3 linked regions of the Saccharomyces cerevisiae S288C genome follow. The gene in region 2 interacts genetically with the main gene of each other region. Each region holds a gene or a part of one and is shown on either strand. Other genes may lie near its edges.

The links.
Region 1: mutations in GAL7 (region 2) and PMT6 together harm fitness more than expected from each alone (negative genetic interaction), as found in Saccharomyces cerevisiae (2 studies listed by BioGRID).
Region 3: of GAL7 (region 2) and GRE3, extra expression of one rescues a mutant of the other (dosage rescue), as found in Saccharomyces cerevisiae (one study listed by BioGRID).

The regions. Positions count from the first base shown.
Region 1 is NC_001139.9:892,665-899,487, reverse strand, and holds the start of PMT6 (dolichyl-phosphate-mannose-protein mannosyltransferase PMT6), read right to left. Parts: upstream 1,987-6,823; coding exon 1-1,986. Other genes in the region: YPP1 (Ypp1p), read right to left, coding at 2,342-4,795; SNG1 (Sng1p), read left to right, coding at 5,348-6,823. UniProt on the Saccharomyces cerevisiae protein: Protein O-mannosyltransferase involved in O-glycosylation which is essential for cell wall rigidity. Transfers mannose from Dol-P-mannose to Ser or Thr residues on proteins.
Region 2 is NC_001134.8:272,442-279,253, forward strand, and holds GAL7 (UDP-glucose:hexose-1-phosphate uridylyltransferase), read right to left. Parts: upstream 3,087-6,812; coding exon 1,986-3,086; downstream 1-1,985. Other genes in the region: KAP104 (Kap104p), read right to left, coding at 1-1,262; GAL10 (bifunctional UDP-glucose 4-epimerase/aldose 1-epimerase), read right to left, coding at 3,812-5,911; GAL1 (galactokinase), read left to right, coding at 6,580-6,812.
Region 3 is NC_001140.6:320,627-327,000, reverse strand, and holds GRE3 (trifunctional aldehyde reductase/xylose reductase/glucose 1-dehydrogenase (NADP(+))), read right to left. Parts: upstream 3,593-6,374; coding exon 2,609-3,592; downstream 1-2,608. Other genes in the region: septin CDC12, read left to right, coding at 1-188; thioredoxin-disulfide reductase TRR2, read right to left, coding at 375-1,403; YPT35 (Ypt35p), read right to left, coding at 1,591-2,235; SBE22 (Sbe22p), read right to left, coding at 4,029-6,374. UniProt on the Saccharomyces cerevisiae protein: Aldose reductase with a broad substrate specificity. Reduces the cytotoxic compound methylglyoxal (MG) to acetol and (R)-lactaldehyde under stress conditions.

The sequences.
Region 1 (6,823 bases), on a different chromosome or scaffold from region 2:
AATACCCTGTATCGTTATTTGCCAGATTTGATCGTCTGAGAGATAAAGCGTTTGTCTCCTCCAACGATATAATATAAAAAGAATAATAAATGGGAAGATGATTAAGGAGACAGTAGAAATCCATGTATTGAAGGGAGATCCCATCAAGTAATATCGAGTGATATATCCCGCCCATGAACACATTCTTAGCCCTTTATGCAAGGTTGGCCATTCCCATGCATCAGACGATAAACTATCATATTTATCCTCATCAGGCACTAACGCGTTATTAGAGGAGGCCATGGCAAAATTAGTTAGAATAAAATCGGTCCAAAAATTGGATTTTGGTGGAACGTAATCTTCTGCGGTTTCTAAATTGTGGTTCCAGTGATCTTCTACATTCCACCAGGTCGATTTGTCCCTACGACTCCAGGAGTCTTTGCAGACGATTTCAGCTTGTTTAAATCCCCAAGCTGGATACGTCAATCCAGTAGAAGCCAAGTAACAACCTAAAACTTTGTGTCTCAACCTGAAGAAAGTAGAAACTGGATGTAAAATAGTTGAATTCTCATTAGAATAGACGGGATTTGGTGAATCCATTTGTTTCACAATCTCCACTATCCAATCATCCTTTTCATCGCCAACACTTTGTGACCCATAGCCTGAAACCTCATAATTTCCTCTAGAGACGTGAGAAGGTACATCATGCGAGTGAAGATTCGATCCTGTATTTTTATGGCTGAGACGAACTTCCACACCATCCGTTATTGGGATTATTTTGCCATTCAAAGTCCCGTTCTGATCTAGTTCCAATCCAGAAGACCTAGAAAATTCAAACTTCCAAACATTATTAGAGTCTGCGAATCCATATCCAGTGATTTGGCGCTGTCCAGAGCCTTCTGGGTATACTTGAATATGTGAATGCAGCAGATTCGGGCTTAAACCATGCGACCTTATGGTTAACTCTGACCCAAATGCTACATCACGAGGACCCGCCTCAATCTGAGTTCCCTCCAAGTTTATCTGAAATAACGTATTTGTAGTAGAATCCCCCGTGCCAGATTTGTACAACAACACAAAGTGAATTTTGAAGCAATAGAGATAGATAAGAAAAGGAATTACTATCAGATTAATGATTCTGATAAGCCAATGTTTGTAATATTTTATTCTAGGCAATTCTTTATCACAATAGAGCAAAAATAGTTCTATACATGTGTAGAGGCCGACTACAACTGTGATAAAAAGACCAACCCATTTCACAGAACAAACGCAACCAATAGATAAACCAGTTAATAACATCCATAACGACCATTTTTTCGTCATTTGTTGCTTTCTCAACGTATACAACTTTATCATACAGGCAAAAGTCGTCATCGAGAAAAAAAGCAGCATTGAATCTAGCAATATGAATTTTGAGAGGACAATATATGAATGTTCCAACGTTACCATCGTAGCAATCAAATAAACAGTAAAATAATTGAACCCCATCCATTTGGCTGTAAAGAAAGCTACTGGTGTACATAGAGCTCCAAATGTGGCATTAAATTGTCTCATTAGTTTAAAGTTTACGTTTTCCGGATATGCATTATTAGAGGAAAAGTCAAATTGACCGTCAAATCCTGCCATCCATTCGCTCAATGCAATAAGCATTTTACCAAGTGGAGGGTGGACATCGTGGTAGTACTCATGTTTGATGTAGTATGATCCGAATTTCCCAAAATGAGCCTCATCCCAGACAACATAATTGTTCTGATCTATATGTTGGAATCTTAGATAAAACGAAGTTATAGTTAATAAAAGGGGACCTATGACATCCCTTAAAATTTTCAACGCAGTGTATTCTTCATTTTTTTTTGTCCTATGTTTTTCTTCTAGTTGCTCAAAGCAATCTAATTGTTCATCTTGAATATCGGAGGCATTAGCTTTTGGTTGATTAACATAACGTTCGCGTAAGTTTTCATCTTCAGTATCAATTGATGAAAATCCCGTTCCCTTGGCTTTACTCATTGGTAAATAATAAGAAAAACAGTATGTTAGGACTATCGTTTGGTATATTAAACTGCCAAGAGAAGATAATTTAAAGAATTGTTTCAACGCGAAACGTGACTATAGCTAATGCTCTTTTCAAATTATTGAACTTATTACATTTATAAAAACGGGTAACCTAATAACGTCAAGTATATGGGCAAAACCGTTATTGAAGAGAAGATGTTCCATTGTTCATCAAATTAATATAAATCAATGAATAATATAATACAACTAGATTGAATTACATCTTTATGCTTTCTATGAGTATCTTTACACCAGAATATACTTGCGCCCATATGTATATATGTGTGTGTATATATCAGAAGAATTATCGTTAGTAATTGCAATACCTTAGGGAGCGAATGGGATTCAACTCTTGGTATTTAATACATTTTAGCAAAGAGTTTTTGTACTCGTCATCTTGATATTTCTCGTAAATGAGGGACAAATACCACCAAACTTCTGGGGAATAGTAAGCCTCGATCGATTCTAGTATTGCGCACTCCAATAGAAATTTTAGTCTTGCATACGCTGCTGACCTATCTGTGTCATTAACGAACGTAAGTTTGGCCCTCTTACCTGGTTTTTTATCAAGGCTGAGAGTATAATAACGCTCAAGATTAGTTTCCTCGACGCCTAGTTCTTCAGGGAAAATTAATTCAGCGAATCCGACCAAGGCATCTAAATTATTCTCATCATAGTACAGAACTGTTTCAAATTCCTTTAATGCCACGCCTGGTTCATCTTTTATTATTGATAAATAACCGTTAGCAATATTACAATTTAAATTCTTGAATTTACTTTCGACATTGGAGGCTTCTTTGATGGCGGCCTTGGCATCCTCATCATTGTCTTTTGTTCTCATGTACATATTTGCAGCAAAAATCCACACCATTTGTAAAAGATATTCTTTAGTTTGAGAATATTTGGGACCCATGCTGTTCAATTCAGGTTGTGAATCTGGAAATAATGTTGCGTATAATTCAAAGACCTCTGGAAGTGTCTCCAGTGCCTCTAAAGTGCCAAAAATTTCTTCAATTAGCGCCAATTGCGTTAATTTTAGGTGAATAAATTGCCATCTATCATTCAGAAGTAAAGTATTGTTCTGAAGACTTTCATTCATAGCTTCTAGAACAGAGCAAACTATCTTGTACGACATTTCCTTATCCTCTTGCACAGACCTACAAAGAGCTAATAGATGCCAAGCTTTGTAGTAATTTGGGTTTTTACTTAATATCAATGATTCTAGAGTCTTGATTGCAGTTTCAATGTGCCTCTGTTGTGCTAGAGTGTAAGAATATTTAAATTGTAATTCACGTAATGCCTTCTCCTCCTCTCCTTCTTCCTGCTCTTCTACATCAGCATTGTCTTTTTCTTTTGTGGACAGCATCATTGCATTACATAGATATGAAGTCAAATTATTAGATACAAGAAAATCTAACTGATATTTTCTGATTTCGTACAATGTTGACCACGCATTTGTTAGAACTTTCGAAATGTTTCCTGGGTATACACATCTGGTGCTGTTTTCTAGCCAATCTAAAGATTCTGATTGGCTCATTAATGGCAAATTATATTCTTTGTAGAAGGAATTCAAGGAAGTCGCAAACGTAGATACCGTATTATCGTAATCAAAAACATTTTCGATTGAATCGGTTTTGGAGGAGTTTTGTAAAATAAAAGAATACGCATCAATGAATGAAATTATGTCACGGTGGGAGTTATCGTGCAGTTGATAGTACTTGTCGTTGTATTTCACAAAATTAACAAAATTTAGTATAGATTCTCTTTTAAATGTCTTCTTCTTTATTTCGTCATTACTGTTATCGCTTAGGTTTTGGAAAAGAAACATTGCTGTTTTCGAAACTTCAATACTTTGAAAAGTCTTTTCCATTGAAGATATTATGAAATTATACCAACTGGGATTCACTTTTATTTTTTTTATGTGAGTGAATTTGAAATAATACTGCAAAAAGACATTAAAATGCTCCAAAGCTTCATCATTTGTCTCACTAGCAGTAGGAAATTTGGCCTTCAACAAAACGTTCTGTCCGAACTTCAAATAAAGATCATCATTATCAATGTGCTTTTTGAGAGGTGACTGGAACTTCTTTATCATGTAAAGGAAAAGAATAAAAGGATTTTCGACGGTAGTTTTAAAATTTTCTGCTAAATCCTGAATTTGATTGAACCTGAGTTTTGCGACGATCAAGCTGATGTATTCGAAAAGAAGACCGTTTGATTCGGGAGGGATCGTATCCACGTGGGCCAGTAGTTCTTTGTAAAAAACATTTTGCATGATATTTATGTCTTGCGAAACTAGACCACGGTAGTACAGGTTTTCTACGATCAAATACCTATCATACTGCTCCATAAGTGCTGTTTTTTGCGATGCAGTGTTATTATGAATTTTCAACGAGTGCAGCAAGCACCGCTGCGATTCCTGAAATTGGCCCCTGTGGAAGAAAAGAATACCGAGGCAATTGAACAGAATTTTCTCCACTAGTTTTGTAATCTCCGGATAGTCATTCAACTCCTCCATCATACTCATATTCTTTTCTAAATTTTGACTTTCCTTCAGTAAAACATCACAAACTGGTTTTGCAGGCCCATTCGATCCAATAACATGGTAATGTAGTCTAAACTGTAAGTTAAGTACGGAATCTAAACTATCAAACCCTGAATTGAAGGTGCTGCCACCTAAGAGTCGCGCTCTTAGCGCTTGGTCGACCACATCTATTATCTTCGATGGAACAGTAGGAGGAATCCGAACATTTGAGTTAGGCATTGGGCAAGTTGGTATTGAACTTCTTTCCAGCTGGCGTGTTCAACTTGTTCCTTCCAGTATGCCACACATTATGCCTTGCACACCTAAAGCACATATTTTCGTTATTTTTCACCACAATAGGTGGATCTCGAAAAGGATGGAAAATCAGGAAAAAGAAATGTTGAGAAAAAAATAAACCGATTCCCGTTTAGTTTTCTCCTATTTCCGTGTATATGCGTGGTTATTCGTTTTCGAATCCTTTTATGAATGTCCGAGGAGGTGGTACAATCCGAAATAGACTAAAGAAAAGCGAAAGCCGTGAGTTTGTTTGATGATAGATGACTCGCAGCTTTGTCATCAACGGGCCACCCTATTCGAAGAAGGGAATGGAAAACGGACTGGCGTAGTCAATAAGCGTCTTCATATCTTAGCATTGTTGAGAGATACATAGTGTACTCCATATCGTTCTTTTTTTTTGTATATATCAAGCCACATATCCTGTTTCTTTAATCTTTTATACGCCGTAAGAATCGGGTACTGACATAAGTGTAAGTAGCCGTACAGAGAACAAATATGACTAAATCGGTTGGTGATGAAGAGTCACAGTACATTGAGGACCCTAGTTTTGCAGCAGCAGCTGCATTTACTGGCGGCAGGGACGGGGTTTCGTACAGTAATCAGCGATTTGCTGAGGGTTCCGGCCATTCTTCTGACTTAGCAAAGTCATTAGAAGACTATCGGCCTCCTGATGAAAAGCCGTCCTCATTGTCATCTGTGGGGGAAGGTGGCGCTAATGAGGAAGAGAAGGGCGGTAACGACGGCGGTCCCTTGGCAAGAATTCAAACAGGGCTTTTTTCTCCAAGACTGCGAAATCATAGGAAAAAGATTCTCTCGAAGTTTGTTTTGAACAACTTCTTCATTGCTTGTGTGTGTGTATCGCTCATATCGATTTACTGGGGTGCCTGTTACGGAACAGATCGTTACTTTTTCAAAGTGAAAAATATTGTTGTATTGCAGGATGCGCCATCTAATACTTCAGTTCAATCTATTTCCGCGATCATACCCTCATTGTTAGCGTCTGTCCCCGGGACATGGCATATATACAACGCAACATCATTTCATAGGAAATTTGGTACGACGAACTCCACCGAAATTGACAGAAAGATAGTCGATTTAATTTACGATGAGAGATACTGGCTGGCGTTAAACGTTAAACCTAATGCTACAGACACTTTGTATAATTCTTTGATTAGCCAAGACGCAAACTCGGAGTTCAATTCATCAATTTTTTTTGAATCCGTGTTTGAAAGTGGTCGTGACCCATCGAGTGTTAAATCGACCATTCTACCACTCATGCAACAATTGGAGGTCCGCCTTCAGAAATATTACGTCAAGGAATATCTTCCCTCATTGATGAGCAACATCACTTCTAATGACAGAGATCTTAATATAAACATGGAGAACTGGGCGATTGCAGGACAGTTGTTGTTCACCTACAACGATTATCGTCCCTTTGCTGATCGTATTCTAATGGCCCCTCTGCAGGTCGGTCTGATTTATTGTATTTTGTTAACCGTTTTACAACTGTCATTATATGGTAAGTTGCACGGAGAAATGGCCAGAGTTCTGAAGCCAAAGCATATTTTAATCTACAGGCTTCTAATTTCCTGGGCAACTTATTTTCTTCTTTCCATTGGATTCTGTACCGTATCTGCAATTTTTAGGATCGATTTCACCCCCGCCTTTGGCAGAGGAGGATTCGTAGTATATTGGATGTCTACGTGGTTGGTAATGATGGCTGTTGGTGGTGCCAATGAAAACGTTCTCAGCTTAGTTATAGCTTACTGCCCTCCATACCTGAGTATTTGGTTGATGACGTGGATCATATTAAATATTTCTGCTTCATTCTACCCAATGGTTTTGAACAACGAATTTTACAGGTACGGCTACATAATGCCAATCCATAATGCCGTGGATATCTATAAAGTGATTTTTTTGAATTTAACCAAAAGAAAAATGGGAAGAAATTACGGTATTCTCGTGGCATGG
Region 2 (6,812 bases):
ATATCCATCACTTGATGAGGTAAAATATTCGTCATTACATCTAGCGTTGCCGCGGAACATTTTCTCAAATTCCATTGCGTATCAACATCGCCATCTTCATCATCATCATCATCATCATCATCTTCGTTGTCATCTGCATCCTCTCCATTTCCTGCCTCTTTCTTTTTCACAATACGGGGTGCAATGGGCTTGATGTCCTCATCTTTATCCTCCAAGAATGCATCATCATCATTAGAAGCTTCCAGGAGAACGATGGATTCTTCGTTATAGACCATTTTCGATAATAATATTGGCACGATATCCTTAACATATGGTTGTAAGATATGTTCAGGAATATTTGGGCTCGTTGCAAAGGCGTGCAAAAACTCGCAGGCTTCAATAGCCACTTTTTCCTCATTTACAGTGGTGATCAAATGCAACATGAATTGTACAATACCATCTAAATGGGAAACCAGCTTATCTGGTCTGAATTCCAATAAGAAACTAAAACTAATGCAAATCTGTGCCCTAACTAGGTCGTTTTCGTCGTTTTGTGCCAACTGAAAAATAATTTCTAAGAATTTATCTAATCTCACAATAAAACTTTGTGTTTGTAGCGGGATCACTGTATTTATACATTTCACCGATTCTGAGCGAATCACAGGTGAGAAATTTGGATTCGAAATAAACCTAAAAAAACTATCCAATAAGGCTTCCATAGGCTTCGTATTTCCCGACCATTCCAATTGGAAAAATTGAGCGCTGTCTTCCATGATCTTAGATAAAGCCTTAATACTTGGCTCATTTCCATTTGAGGTTAGCTCTAGCAACTGGTAAAGCATTTGAAGACCAGTTGGATCATCTCTATGCTGCCTATAGTAAGTGGAAAATAAAGTAGTAATAACGATACCTGTCACGTTCGAAACGAGATTATTGTTCGAATTATAAAGGCCATGTATAATGTTTGATTTGACGTATCCTAAGTCGTGGCTATTGCTCTTAATTAAATTGTTTCCCCCTAGCATTGAATTTTTCAACAGCATACCGGCGGTAGCTCTATTGTTCTGAAGATCCTGTAGGGAGTAGTGTTGCTTCAATACATCATCAGATTCGCCTTCAATTAAAATATAACACAAATAATTGAGAAATTCAGGTTGCAGCTGGAAGTTCTCCATAGCTTCCATTGCGTTATTACGAATCTCTGGATTTGGTGACATACAGTTCTGTAAAAGAGTTGCTAGTTGCAACACATAGTCTTCGGCGGGCTTCCATGTCGATGCCATCTTTATTCACTTAACTACTGCTAACAATTCTGAAAACCAAAGACTGCGGAATATTCTGATATGTATTATTACTATTCACTGCTCTTCTGCATAATTAATACTGAAAAGTTTTTCATACTTTTAAACATAACCTTTTTTTAAGCAAAACTCTATAACCCGGATCAGAAAACTACGAAAAGAGGGTAATAACATAGGTGCAGGATTTCCATCGATAACGACACCGACAATGAGCCTTGCTGCAACATCCAATTAGGACTAATAACTATCGTAGGAATTTCTACGTAATAAACTTCAACAGAGCCTAAAATTTGAAAATAAATAATCTAGAGGGGAAACTTAAAGAAATTCTATTCTTGTCAATAAAGTGGAAATGTGTCAGATGTCACAGTTTCTTTATTTGTGACACATATTTTCAACATAAATTCAGGCATTAGTGCTTTTATAAGCATAAGAAGTTGTGGCGATATGAATATTCCAGATTTTACTTACAAGCTGCATTGTATTCCTAAAATTCTTTTTTCTTTTTTTTTTTTTTTATGGAAAGGACCACTCTTACATAACTAGAATAGCATTAAGAATCAGATTTACAGATAATGATGTCATTATTAAATATATATATATATATATTGTCACTCCGTTCAAGTCGACAACCAATAAAAAATTTAAAAGAAACCAGGCAGTTAATAGAAAAAATATGATATGAATGAATATTCCACTTTCTTTTTACAGTCTTTGTAGATAATGAATCTGACCATCTAAATTTCTTAGTTTTTCAGCAGCTTGTTCCGAAGTTAAATCTCTTTGAGGCTCACCTAACAATTCAAAACCAACCAAGAATTTCCGAACAGTAGCTGATCTCAGTAAAGGTGGGTAGAAATGCATGTGAAACCAACTATTACTCAATTCATCACCAGTCGCATTCAAAGGAGCCTGATGGATACCCATTGAGTATGGGAAACTCGTTTCAAATAAATTATCATACTTAATAGTTAGTTGCTTTAAAATCGAGGCGAGGTCCTCCTTCACCATTTGGTTAAATTGGCTAATTGAGGCAAGCTTCTTCTTTGAAATGACCAAGGTCTCAAATGGCCAGATGGCCCAGTATGGAACAACAACAATAAAGGATTCATTCTCCACTACGACTCTTGACTTCTCTCTTGATTCTAATTTGACGTAATCGGCAAACAAATCAGTATTGTGTTCACGTTTATATTTATCAAAAGATTTCAATTCTTGCGAAACTTCACTAGGGATGGATTCTAAGCACCAAGCTTGGCCATGTGGATGTAAGTTGGAACAACCCATGGCTGTACCTTTGTTTTCAAATATTTGGACATATTTGAAAGGCTTATGATTTTCTCTTGCTTCTCTGGAGAGATCGTCAGTCAATGCTTGCCAAGAATTAACAATATGAACCAGATCTGATTGTTTCATTTGTGGAATGGTTAGATTATGATTGGGGCTAAAACATATGACGAAACAATTGCCTCTCACAGATTGCACTTTAAGCAGCCTATTTTTAAGATTATCCTCATTGGAATCATTCTGTGGTAAAATAGGTTGATCGAGCCTAACGGCAGCATAATCATTGGGGAAAATATACGTTGATTCATATCTTGGGTTTAGGTTACCAGTAGCTCTTTTGTTACCAGGACATAGATAGCATTTTGGATCATACAATGGAGCTGTGGGCTTGTAAGCAGCCTCCTGTTGACCTAACCAAGGTCTTTTAGCTCTGTGTGGAGAAACTAAGATCCATGAATCGGTTAGTGGATTGTAACGTCTATGGGAATGGCTAGAAAAATCAAATTCTTCAGCAGTCATTTTTGAGGGAATATTCAACTGTTTTTTTTTATCATGTTGATGCTCTGCATAATAATGCCCATAAATATTTCCGACCTGCTTTTATATCTTTGCTAGCCAAACTAACTGAACATAGCTACACATTATTTTCAGCTTGGCTATTTTGTGAACACTGTATAGCCAGTCCTTCGGATCACGGTCAACAGTTGTCCGAGCGCTTTTTGGACCCTTTCCCTTATTTTTGGGTTAAGGAAAATGACAGAAAATATATCTAATGAGCCTTCGCTCAACAGTGCTCCGAAGTATAGCTTTCCAAAAGGAGAGGCAAAGCAATTTAAGAATGTATGAACAAAATAAAGGGGAAAAATTACCCCCTCTACTTTACCAAACGAATACTACCAATAATATTTACAACTTTTCCTTATGATTTTTTCACTGAAGCGCTTCGCAATAGTTGTGAGTGATATCAAAAGTAACGAAATGAACTCCGCGGCTCGTGCTATATTCTTGTTGCTACCGTCCATATCTTTCCATAGATTTTCAATTTTTGATGTCTCCATGGTGGTACAGAGAACTTGTAAACAATTCGGTCCCTACATGTGAGGAAATTCGCTGTGACACTTTTATCACTGAACTCCAAATTTAAAAAATAGCATAAAATTCGTTATACAGCAAATCTATGTGTTGCAATTAAGAACTAAAAGATATAGAGTGCATATTTTCAAGAAGGATAGTAAGCTGGCAAATCAGGAAAATCTGTAGACAATCTTGGACCCGTAAGTTTCACCGTTTTTCAAGGTTACACAATCTTTCCAGTTCTCTTGATTGATAGCATCAATGTATCTACCAGGCTCAATTGCAAAACCTTGTCTTGCTTCGTAACCAGCAGACAAGAAATCACCGGTATAAAATTGATAAGTTGGCTCTGTACTTAAAACTTCTAATGTAATATTGGAATCGGGATGAAAAGCCTTGACAATAAGCGTCAATTCATTGTTTAGAGTATTGATTTGACTTGGCTTAGCATTTTCATCCACCACAAAACAACAATCAAACTGGGGATTTTTGGGGCCTAAGACCGTTGGCTTTGTAGAGTTAAAGGTAGCAATTTCTCTATCGACGATATTACCCGTAGGAATCATGTTTTTGTCGACATCAACAGATTTTTTTGAACGCACCATAATCTCCGTACCCTCAATAGTGTCTCCATATGGCTTGTTCAGATTGAAATAACTATGATTTGTTAAATTTATTGGCGTCGCTTCACCAGCAGTCAATTTACCTTTATATACCATTTCCAAACTTTTTTGGGCAACGTTCACAGTATACTGTATGGTTACCAATAGATCACCTGGAAATTCGGTGTCCTTCTCATTATCTATCAGCATGTACTCGGCGGTAAAAACATCCTTTGAAGGATTTTGAATGATGGGTCCCAAAAATCTTTTTCTGTGGAAAGAACCGATACTACTATGATTCGCATTAACGCCGTTATTAACGGTTAACTGATAGTCTTTGTTGCATAAACTAAACTTACCCTTCGAAATACGATTAGCATACCTGCCGATCGTGGCGCCTATATAAGCACTATCAGGATTCAAATACCCTTCCTCATTTTCATAGCCAAGAACAACTGATTGTCCGTTCACTTTCAGGTCAACAATGCTGGCGCCCAAATTGGCAAACGTGGCTTGAAATCTGGTGCCGGCACCAATAGTCACAAATCTTGCGTCATAACGCATATCTTCAGCGGAAAATCTGGCCTCGACACCCCTTAACTGGTAACCAAAAGGATTCTCAGTAGTCCATTTCCATAAATCCTTGCAGGAGTCTTCAACCTGCAACTCGGTCTGCCATTTCAGTTCGCGTTTGGCCCTATCTGGTTTAGCCGTCAAGTTCAAAACATCACCTGCTCTTCTGCCCGTAACTTTGTATGGAAGATCAATACCAGAAGCTTTGCAGAATGCATGATAAACTTCAAAAACTGTAGAACCTTTACCGGAACCCAAGTTCCACTCACGACACAAACCTTCATTTTCATTGTAGGCCTCTAGGTATTGCAGGGCTGCAATATGACCTTTTGCTAGATCAACTACGTGGATATAATCCCTGATCGGGGTACCATCTCTGGAATCATAATCGTCTCCGAAGATGTAAAGCTTCTCGCGCCTACCAACAGCTACTTGAGCCATATATGGCAACAAATTGTTTGGTATACCTAGCGGATCTTCTCCGATTAATCCAGAGGGATGTGCGCCAATTGGGTTAAAATAACGCAAGATAGCAAACTTCCAACTTTTTTTGTCGCTATTGTAAAGATCATTCAAGATATTCTCAATGGCGTATTTCGTATGACCATACGGATTAGTAGGCCCTAAGGGACATTCTTCTGGGATAGGAATCATATTTGGGAATCTCGTAGCATCACCATAGACAGTAGCAGAAGATGAAAAAACAAATTTGGAAACGTTGTATTGTTGCATTAACTCTAATAAAACGACAGTTCCCAAAATGTTATTGTGATAGTATCTCAGCGGGATTTGTGTAGATTCACCTACAGCCTTTAAACCAGCAAAGTGAATTACCGAATCAATTTTATATTCTTTGAAAACCTTTTCCAGACCTTTTCGGTCACACAAATCAACCTCATAGAAGGGAATGTGATGCTTGGTCAAGACCTCTAACCTGGCTACAGAATCATAAGTTGAATTCGACAGGTTATCAGCAACAACACAGTCATATCCATTCTCAATTAGCTCTACCACAGTGTGTGAACCAATGTATCCAGCACCACCTGTAACCAAAACAATTTTAGAAGTACTTTCACTTTGTAACTGAGCTGTCATTTATATTGAATTTTCAAAAATTCTTACTTTTTTTTTGGATGGACGCAAAGAAGTTTAATAATCATATTACATGGCATTACCACCATATACATATCCATATCTAATCTTACTTATATGTTGTGGAAATGTAAAGAGCCCCATTATCTTAGCCTAAAAAAACCTTCTCTTTGGAACTTTCAGTAATACGCTTAACTGCTCATTGCTATATTGAAGTACGGATTAGAAGCCGCCGAGCGGGCGACAGCCCTCCGACGGAAGACTCTCCTCCGTGCGTCCTCGTCTTCACCGGTCGCGTTCCTGAAACGCAGATGTGCCTCGCGCCGCACTGCTCCGAACAATAAAGATTCTACAATACTAGCTTTTATGGTTATGAAGAGGAAAAATTGGCAGTAACCTGGCCCCACAAACCTTCAAATTAACGAATCAAATTAACAACCATAGGATGATAATGCGATTAGTTTTTTAGCCTTATTTCTGGGGTAATTAATCAGCGAAGCGATGATTTTTGATCTATTAACAGATATATAAATGGAAAAGCTGCATAACCACTTTAACTAATACTTTCAACATTTTCAGTTTGTATTACTTCTTATTCAAATGTCATAAAAGTATCAACAAAAAATTGTTAATATACCTCTATACTTTAACGTCAAGGAGAAAAAACTATAATGACTAAATCTCATTCAGAAGAAGTGATTGTACCTGAGTTCAATTCTAGCGCAAAGGAATTACCAAGACCATTGGCCGAAAAGTGCCCGAGCATAATTAAGAAATTTATAAGCGCTTATGATGCTAAACCGGATTTTGTTGCTAGATCGCCTGGTAGAGTCAATCTAATTGGTGAACATATTGATTATTGTGACTTCTCGGTTTTACCTTTAGCTATTGATTTTGATATGCT
Region 3 (6,374 bases), on a different chromosome or scaffold from region 2:
AAAATGCATTGAAGAAGTATTTCACTGACCAAGTCAAAGCTGAGGAGCAAAGATTTAGACAATGGGAGCAAAACATTGTTAACGAAAGAATCAGACTGAACGGTGACTTGGAAGAAATTCAAGGAAAGGTAAAAAAACTAGAAGAGCAGGTCAAAAGCTTGCAAGTAAAAAAATCCCATTTAAAATGATGATTAATTAATGTCTTCCTCTTTGTCTCGTCAATTTCAACGCCTATCTCTTTGTCTCTTCTTTTGTCGCAGCAATACGCACATATATATATGTATCTTATAAAAATATTTCAAATATATCTCAAAAAACATAGAATACGTAACACAATCGAACAGTAAAAACAAAAATAAACCGGTTTTTTCACGTTACTCTTGGGCACTTAGGTACCGTTCTGCATCCAAAGCAGCAATGCATCCGGAACCAGCAGAAGTAACTGCTTGTCTATACCTAGAGTCCTGAACGTCACCTGCAGCAAAAAAACCTGGCACAGAAGTCAGAGACGATCCAGGCACAGTTTTTATATACCCCGTCTCTTCTTCATCTACTTGTCCTTTAACTATATCTGTGGCAGGGCTGTGACCTATTGCGTAAAATAGTCCATTTACTTCTAAATCGTTCTCCACATTACTTTTAGTATTCTTAATTCTCAACATATTCAATAACTTACCATCACCCTTAGCTTCTAATGCAACTGTGTTGAACAAAACAATGATGTTTGGATTTTTCTCAATTCGTCTCTGCATTATTACAGATGCACGAAAATGATCCTTTCTTACTAATATATATACTTTCGACGCATACTTCGTAAGAAATTCCGCTTCCTCACACGCAGAGTCACCACCACCAATAACGGCCAATGGCTTGTTTCTAAAGATAGGGACTGCACCATCACATACAGCACAGGCAGATATTCCCTGCTGCCAGTAGGTTTCCTCCCCTGGTAAATGCATTCTCTTAGCGGAAGCACCCGTGGCCAAGATTATAGCATCAGTGGTCACAGGCTCTGCATCCTCATTAAATTCGGTCCATAATCTGAATGGTTTTGAAGATAAATCGACTTTAGAGACAGTCTCGGTAATTATGTTAGTGCCAAACTTGGCAGATTGTTTCCTCATCCTCTCCATCAGTTCACTGCCACTCAACGATTCAGGAAACCCTGGGAAATTTTCGATATCGGTGGTTGTTGTCAATTGGCCACCAGCAGCAATTCCGTTGGCCATCATTCCCTCATATAATGTGGGCTTCATCTCTGCTCTTGCCAAGTATATAGCAGCGGTGTGGGCAGCGGGGCCAGAACCTATGATTGTAACCTTGTGATGAATCATCCTTGACAGCACGGACTTGCTGATGCCAACAAAATTCGTCCTGAATGGCGAAACTATATGTTTTATCATTGTTTATTTATATTAGAAACTGTGGAGTCCGTTTCGTTCTTCCTTTAATGTTGGACGATCCCCTAAAAGTTTTCATTGCGGTCAGCTCAAGGCATTCCCCATCGAGTGATTAATTAACAACGCGCCCGAGTTAAATGGGATAGTAGTAGTCGATGAGAAGAATAGTCGGTTGGATAGGGATGGTGAGCTATGCAACTCGTTTTGAAGGCTCTAGAAACTGTATGAGTATATCTTTGGTCATTTCTACGAGGCTGCTGTTAAGGATGATGTGATTGAGGAAGTACTCGAGCCCTCTCTGTCTTTTTGCCAGCCAGTCCTTGTTCAGATTCACTTCTTGATATTTCCAAGAACTGTACCACTGCACTGAAGGGGGAAGGTGTGGAATCTGCAAACAGTTAAGTTTCTCAGGTTTCGCTGTCTTGATTCTTGTGAGCAAATTCTCTCGTAATCTGACGAAATCGGAGTATCGTTTATAGGTTTGGATTTTATAGCTTTCCCTCTTGGCCGCAAAAGCCTTCAAGTTGGGTTCAAGAAATACGGTAATTCTCCAGACAGCAAACTTTGTTCCATGGTCGCCATTGACTATGGTGCAATCGCTGACATGAGCCTTTTGAAAACTAAAGTTTGCATTGATAGAACTGCTTCGTCTAGGTCTTGTTCTGGTAATTGTGGCACCGCAATCATTACTATGGCTAGTGCTATCATTGCTGTTTGACGCACTGATGGGTCCCTCATTTTCTTGTTGTGAGTCAATGTCGAGTTCAGGCTCCGTGGAGTCTTCGTCAAGTAGTTGGATGGGTTCGGGAGGTAGAAAGGATATCTTGTCGCTCATATCTTGCTGTTGTTTTAGTTGAAATGGAAGCTGCTATTAATATCCCGATAGATATCCGGTTACTCAAATGATTTTGGGACCGCTTTGCTCTCTTGGTGTCTATTTTAGTATCACTCACTCATCGCCCCCACTCGTTTCCCTTTTAATTTCAATTACCGTTGGGTTCTGTTAAAAAATAGCCAAATTGTCAACCATACAAGAGATGAATTAAAAGCGTGGATGACACCACAGGCAGAAAAAGTATATCCAACATTTTATTTAAAGCTGTTCTGTGTCTAAACAGAAGAGCATGTAAAAATTTATACACATATACAGCATCGGAATGAGGGAAATTTGTTCATATCGTCGTTGAGTATGGATTTTACTGGCTGGATCAGGCAAAAGTGGGGAATTTACCATCCAACCAGGTCCATGGATCATTAAATCTGATGTTGGCATTTAGTGCAGAAATATCCTTCAATTCTTGCTCCGTTAAAGTGAACTTTTTTTCGATTTCTAGGTTGCCAAGTAACCTTTCCTTCTTGGAAGATTTTGGAATGACGGCAATGCCTCTCTGAGTTGCCCATCTAAGCAATACTTGGGAAGTGGTACTGCCTGGATGGTTTTGTGAGACCTTCTTGATTACATCATTCTCGAACAGAGTTGGCGTGGTTTTTGCCAACTGTAAGTCCATCTCAATGAATGATTGAGGACCGAAGGAGGAGTAAGCAACTACTTGGATATCGTGTAATTTACAAAACTCAACTAGGTGTTCTTGAGTCAAATAAGGATGGTGTTCAATTTGCAAAGCCACGGGCTTGATTCTACAACCACGTAATAAATCTTGAATCAAGCTTCCCTGAAAGTTGGAAACACCAATAGACTTAATCAAGCCTTCATCAACACATTCTTCCAGAGCCCGGTACGTATCTATGATTGGTACATGTGCTTCGGTGATGTGACCTTTCTTCTCGTCATCTGCGCCCGTATAGAATCCTGGAGGGTATTTCTCTTCAAATGGAACATATTTGAAGGCGATTGGGAAGTGAATATAATACAGGTCTAAATAATCAAGTCCCATATCGCTTAAGGTCTTCTTTAAAGCTAATTTTACATGATCAGGATGGTGAAAATTGTTCCATAACTTTGAAACAACAAATATATCCTTTCTAGAAACAAGACCTTCGGAGATGGCTTTCCTGATACCTTCACCAACTTCCTTTTCGTTGCCGTAGTCGCAAGCACCATCGAATAAACGGTAGCCTAATTTGATAGCTTCATAAATTTGATTCGCACAGACTTTTTTGTCAATTTTCCAGCACCCTAAGCCGACTAGGGGCATTTTCAGACCGTTATTAAGAGTAACCAGTGAAGACATCTTTAAAAAATTTCCAATTTTCCTTTACGATTTATATTACAGTATTTTCCCAATCGTCTTGAAGGATTGCACTGACAACTATTTGCTTCTATATCCCTTATATACTTCAGTGTACCAGGAGTAATTTACTTGATAGGCCCCCTAGAAGTAGTAACTTCGAGGTTTTTTTTTTTTCCATAAAATTCTTCCGCATGTGGCTTTTCCCTTTTATGACGTATACGTTTACTACCAGCAACAATTGGGAAACAAGTATAGAATCTAGAGTTCCGATAATGAAATATTATAAAAGTTTTATTAAACAGTGAATGTGTAAAGAAAACAAACAACTATATGCTGAGGAGACTTCTAAATATATGCTGAGGAGTTTTCCTTGGGCTCCCTTTTAATCCAGTTTTTTTTTTCTTGTGCATGAGTGAAATTACAGTTACAAAAAATATCAAAACTTCTTGTAGTAATGCGCCCATTTCTTGATGAACACGGCATTTACAGTATCTGCGTCTACGAATTCATCATTGATGAATACTGGAATGCAAAATCTCTGGTCATTCACGTTACAAAGACTTCTTAAATCAGTGAATCCAAAGTGGTAATTTAACAATACATTTAATGCAAATGAAATCAAGATCTTGTAGTTTATTACCACTTTCTTCGAGCGGTAATATTCCCAATCCTTGTTAACAAACTCATCTTCGTTGATTGGGCTATTTTTGTAGCTCTGGGAATTGTTGACTACTATAATATCCATGATCCACATAAAAAGCTTATGATCAATACGTTCTAGGATGTTCCACCAGGTGGTAGAGTTTATACACTCCGTATTAAATTCATCCTTGAACTCCTCGTTTTGCGATAAATAACCGGCTACGACACCCTTACGTTCTAAAACCTTTGCATCGAACTTTTCTTTACAAAGATCATTAAAACACGTCATTTGTACTAAATTAACAATATTCCAAATCTCGTTTAGCCCCAGGTTCTGAAATGATTCACTCACCAAGAAATGATGGAAAAGGAGTTCATCACCGGTGACTATACCCTGTGATGAGATAGATTTTATCTTCAATAAAAGCATCAAATCAGGACATATATCATGTAAACCGCTCACTTTTCGCCTCAAACTTGTTTCGATTAGCTGCGATATTTCAATTTCCTTGTTTTTAGGAAAGTCTCCCATTTTTGTTAAAAGCTCCTGTAGCTCATGAAATGGTTGAATATAGTTTTTGGTAATAAACCTAGTCTTGCTCTGTAAAATTTCGCTGTAAATTGTTGACCTAGTTTCGTCACTAAATGGAGTGTCCCAAACCATTTTACTTAGGCTTTGTAAGGAGGAGTTTCTAGTTATATCTCTGTCCAATAATAACACATATTTTTGCCTATTTGTTTCATCTCTAATCAACTTTTCTTCTCTGTCTTTATTTTTTCCTAGTTGGTCAAGGGAAGCAACACTCATGCTTTTGTTAATTTGCCTTTCATGAAGCTTTTTTTCCTGGCGATCCTTGGGTGGTAACCAACTCGGTCTTGAATGGCTGACCACATCTAGTTTGTTCTCCGAGACAAGTATCAAATCTTCCATGCCTTGATTTTGAGCTTCTTTTAGTTCAATTGGCAAGAAATCGGAAGACTTTGTTCTTTCGGACAGCTTAGATCTTGAAAGCCTATTGGAAGAATGCAAATAAACAGAGGCTAGACTCTTGGTTGTGTCTTGAATGAACTGAAAATCAGTTACTTTGTTCAAACCTGGAATCGGAGACGTAGGCATCTCATTAAAGTCCAATAATGAGGCGTTTGATGTTGTACTCGCAAAAGAGATGTTCGAGTACCTATGATTTTGTTTTGTATAAGAAATTTCAGAGTTATCATTTACCAAACCTCCGGTATATTCTGATAAGTCATTCTTGCCAGCCAAGTTATTCATATCATCGGGCTTAGCAGACGCTAGAAATGAATTAGTAGATAATGATGCCATAGGAACGTTCCAAATCAACGAATCATCAACGTCTCCCTCTTGTAACTCAAGAATTTGTTCTTGACTATCATAAAATTTCTCTTTTCTTTTGATTGTATTTCTTAAATTCATCTCCGATTGCTCTTTACGAAGTCTGTATTTCTGAGACGGAGTTAATGGCTTGCAATTCAAAGGTTTCTGAGATGGAACGTTAAATTCTAATGACGAAGCCTCTATCCGATCACTTGAATTAGAAATTTTGGAGCTTATGCCAAACGTTTTCAGAATGCTGCTGTTGTTATAACCCGTAGACGAGCATGTTTGCGATTTAGCACGTGATCTTTGCTTGCTGTTCAGTAAAGATGACTGGCTTTTCTTCGAGGAGAACTGTTCTTGGTAAGAATGTCTAGATTTATTCATAGTTTTCTCTGCGGCTGTATCATCAAACGACATGCTTTTTTGCAGTGCCATTTTGGAACCGTCCGTAGTTGCTTCCACAATGGTATTATTGCTTGCGCTTCTCATTCCATTTCCATCAGCGCCTCTACCTTGAGTAGCCTTTTCCATCAATATGCTGGGAAAAGTATTTATTTTAGATTTGTCGGCATCACTGCCTTCTCCCTCATCGCTGGTATCTCCCAAGGAGGAAGATGCAGAAGTGGATGAAAATACCTCGGTAGTCTTGGTACCTATTGAGCTATTTGAAGCGGGACGTTCACGTCTTGTTTGAGCAGGGTTGACTTTTGGCGGTGGTAAAGCCGAGTTAACGAATGAATTTAGCATATTTCCCCCATTGCCGTTGTCGCTACAGTTCATGTTTGATAATAAATTCTCACT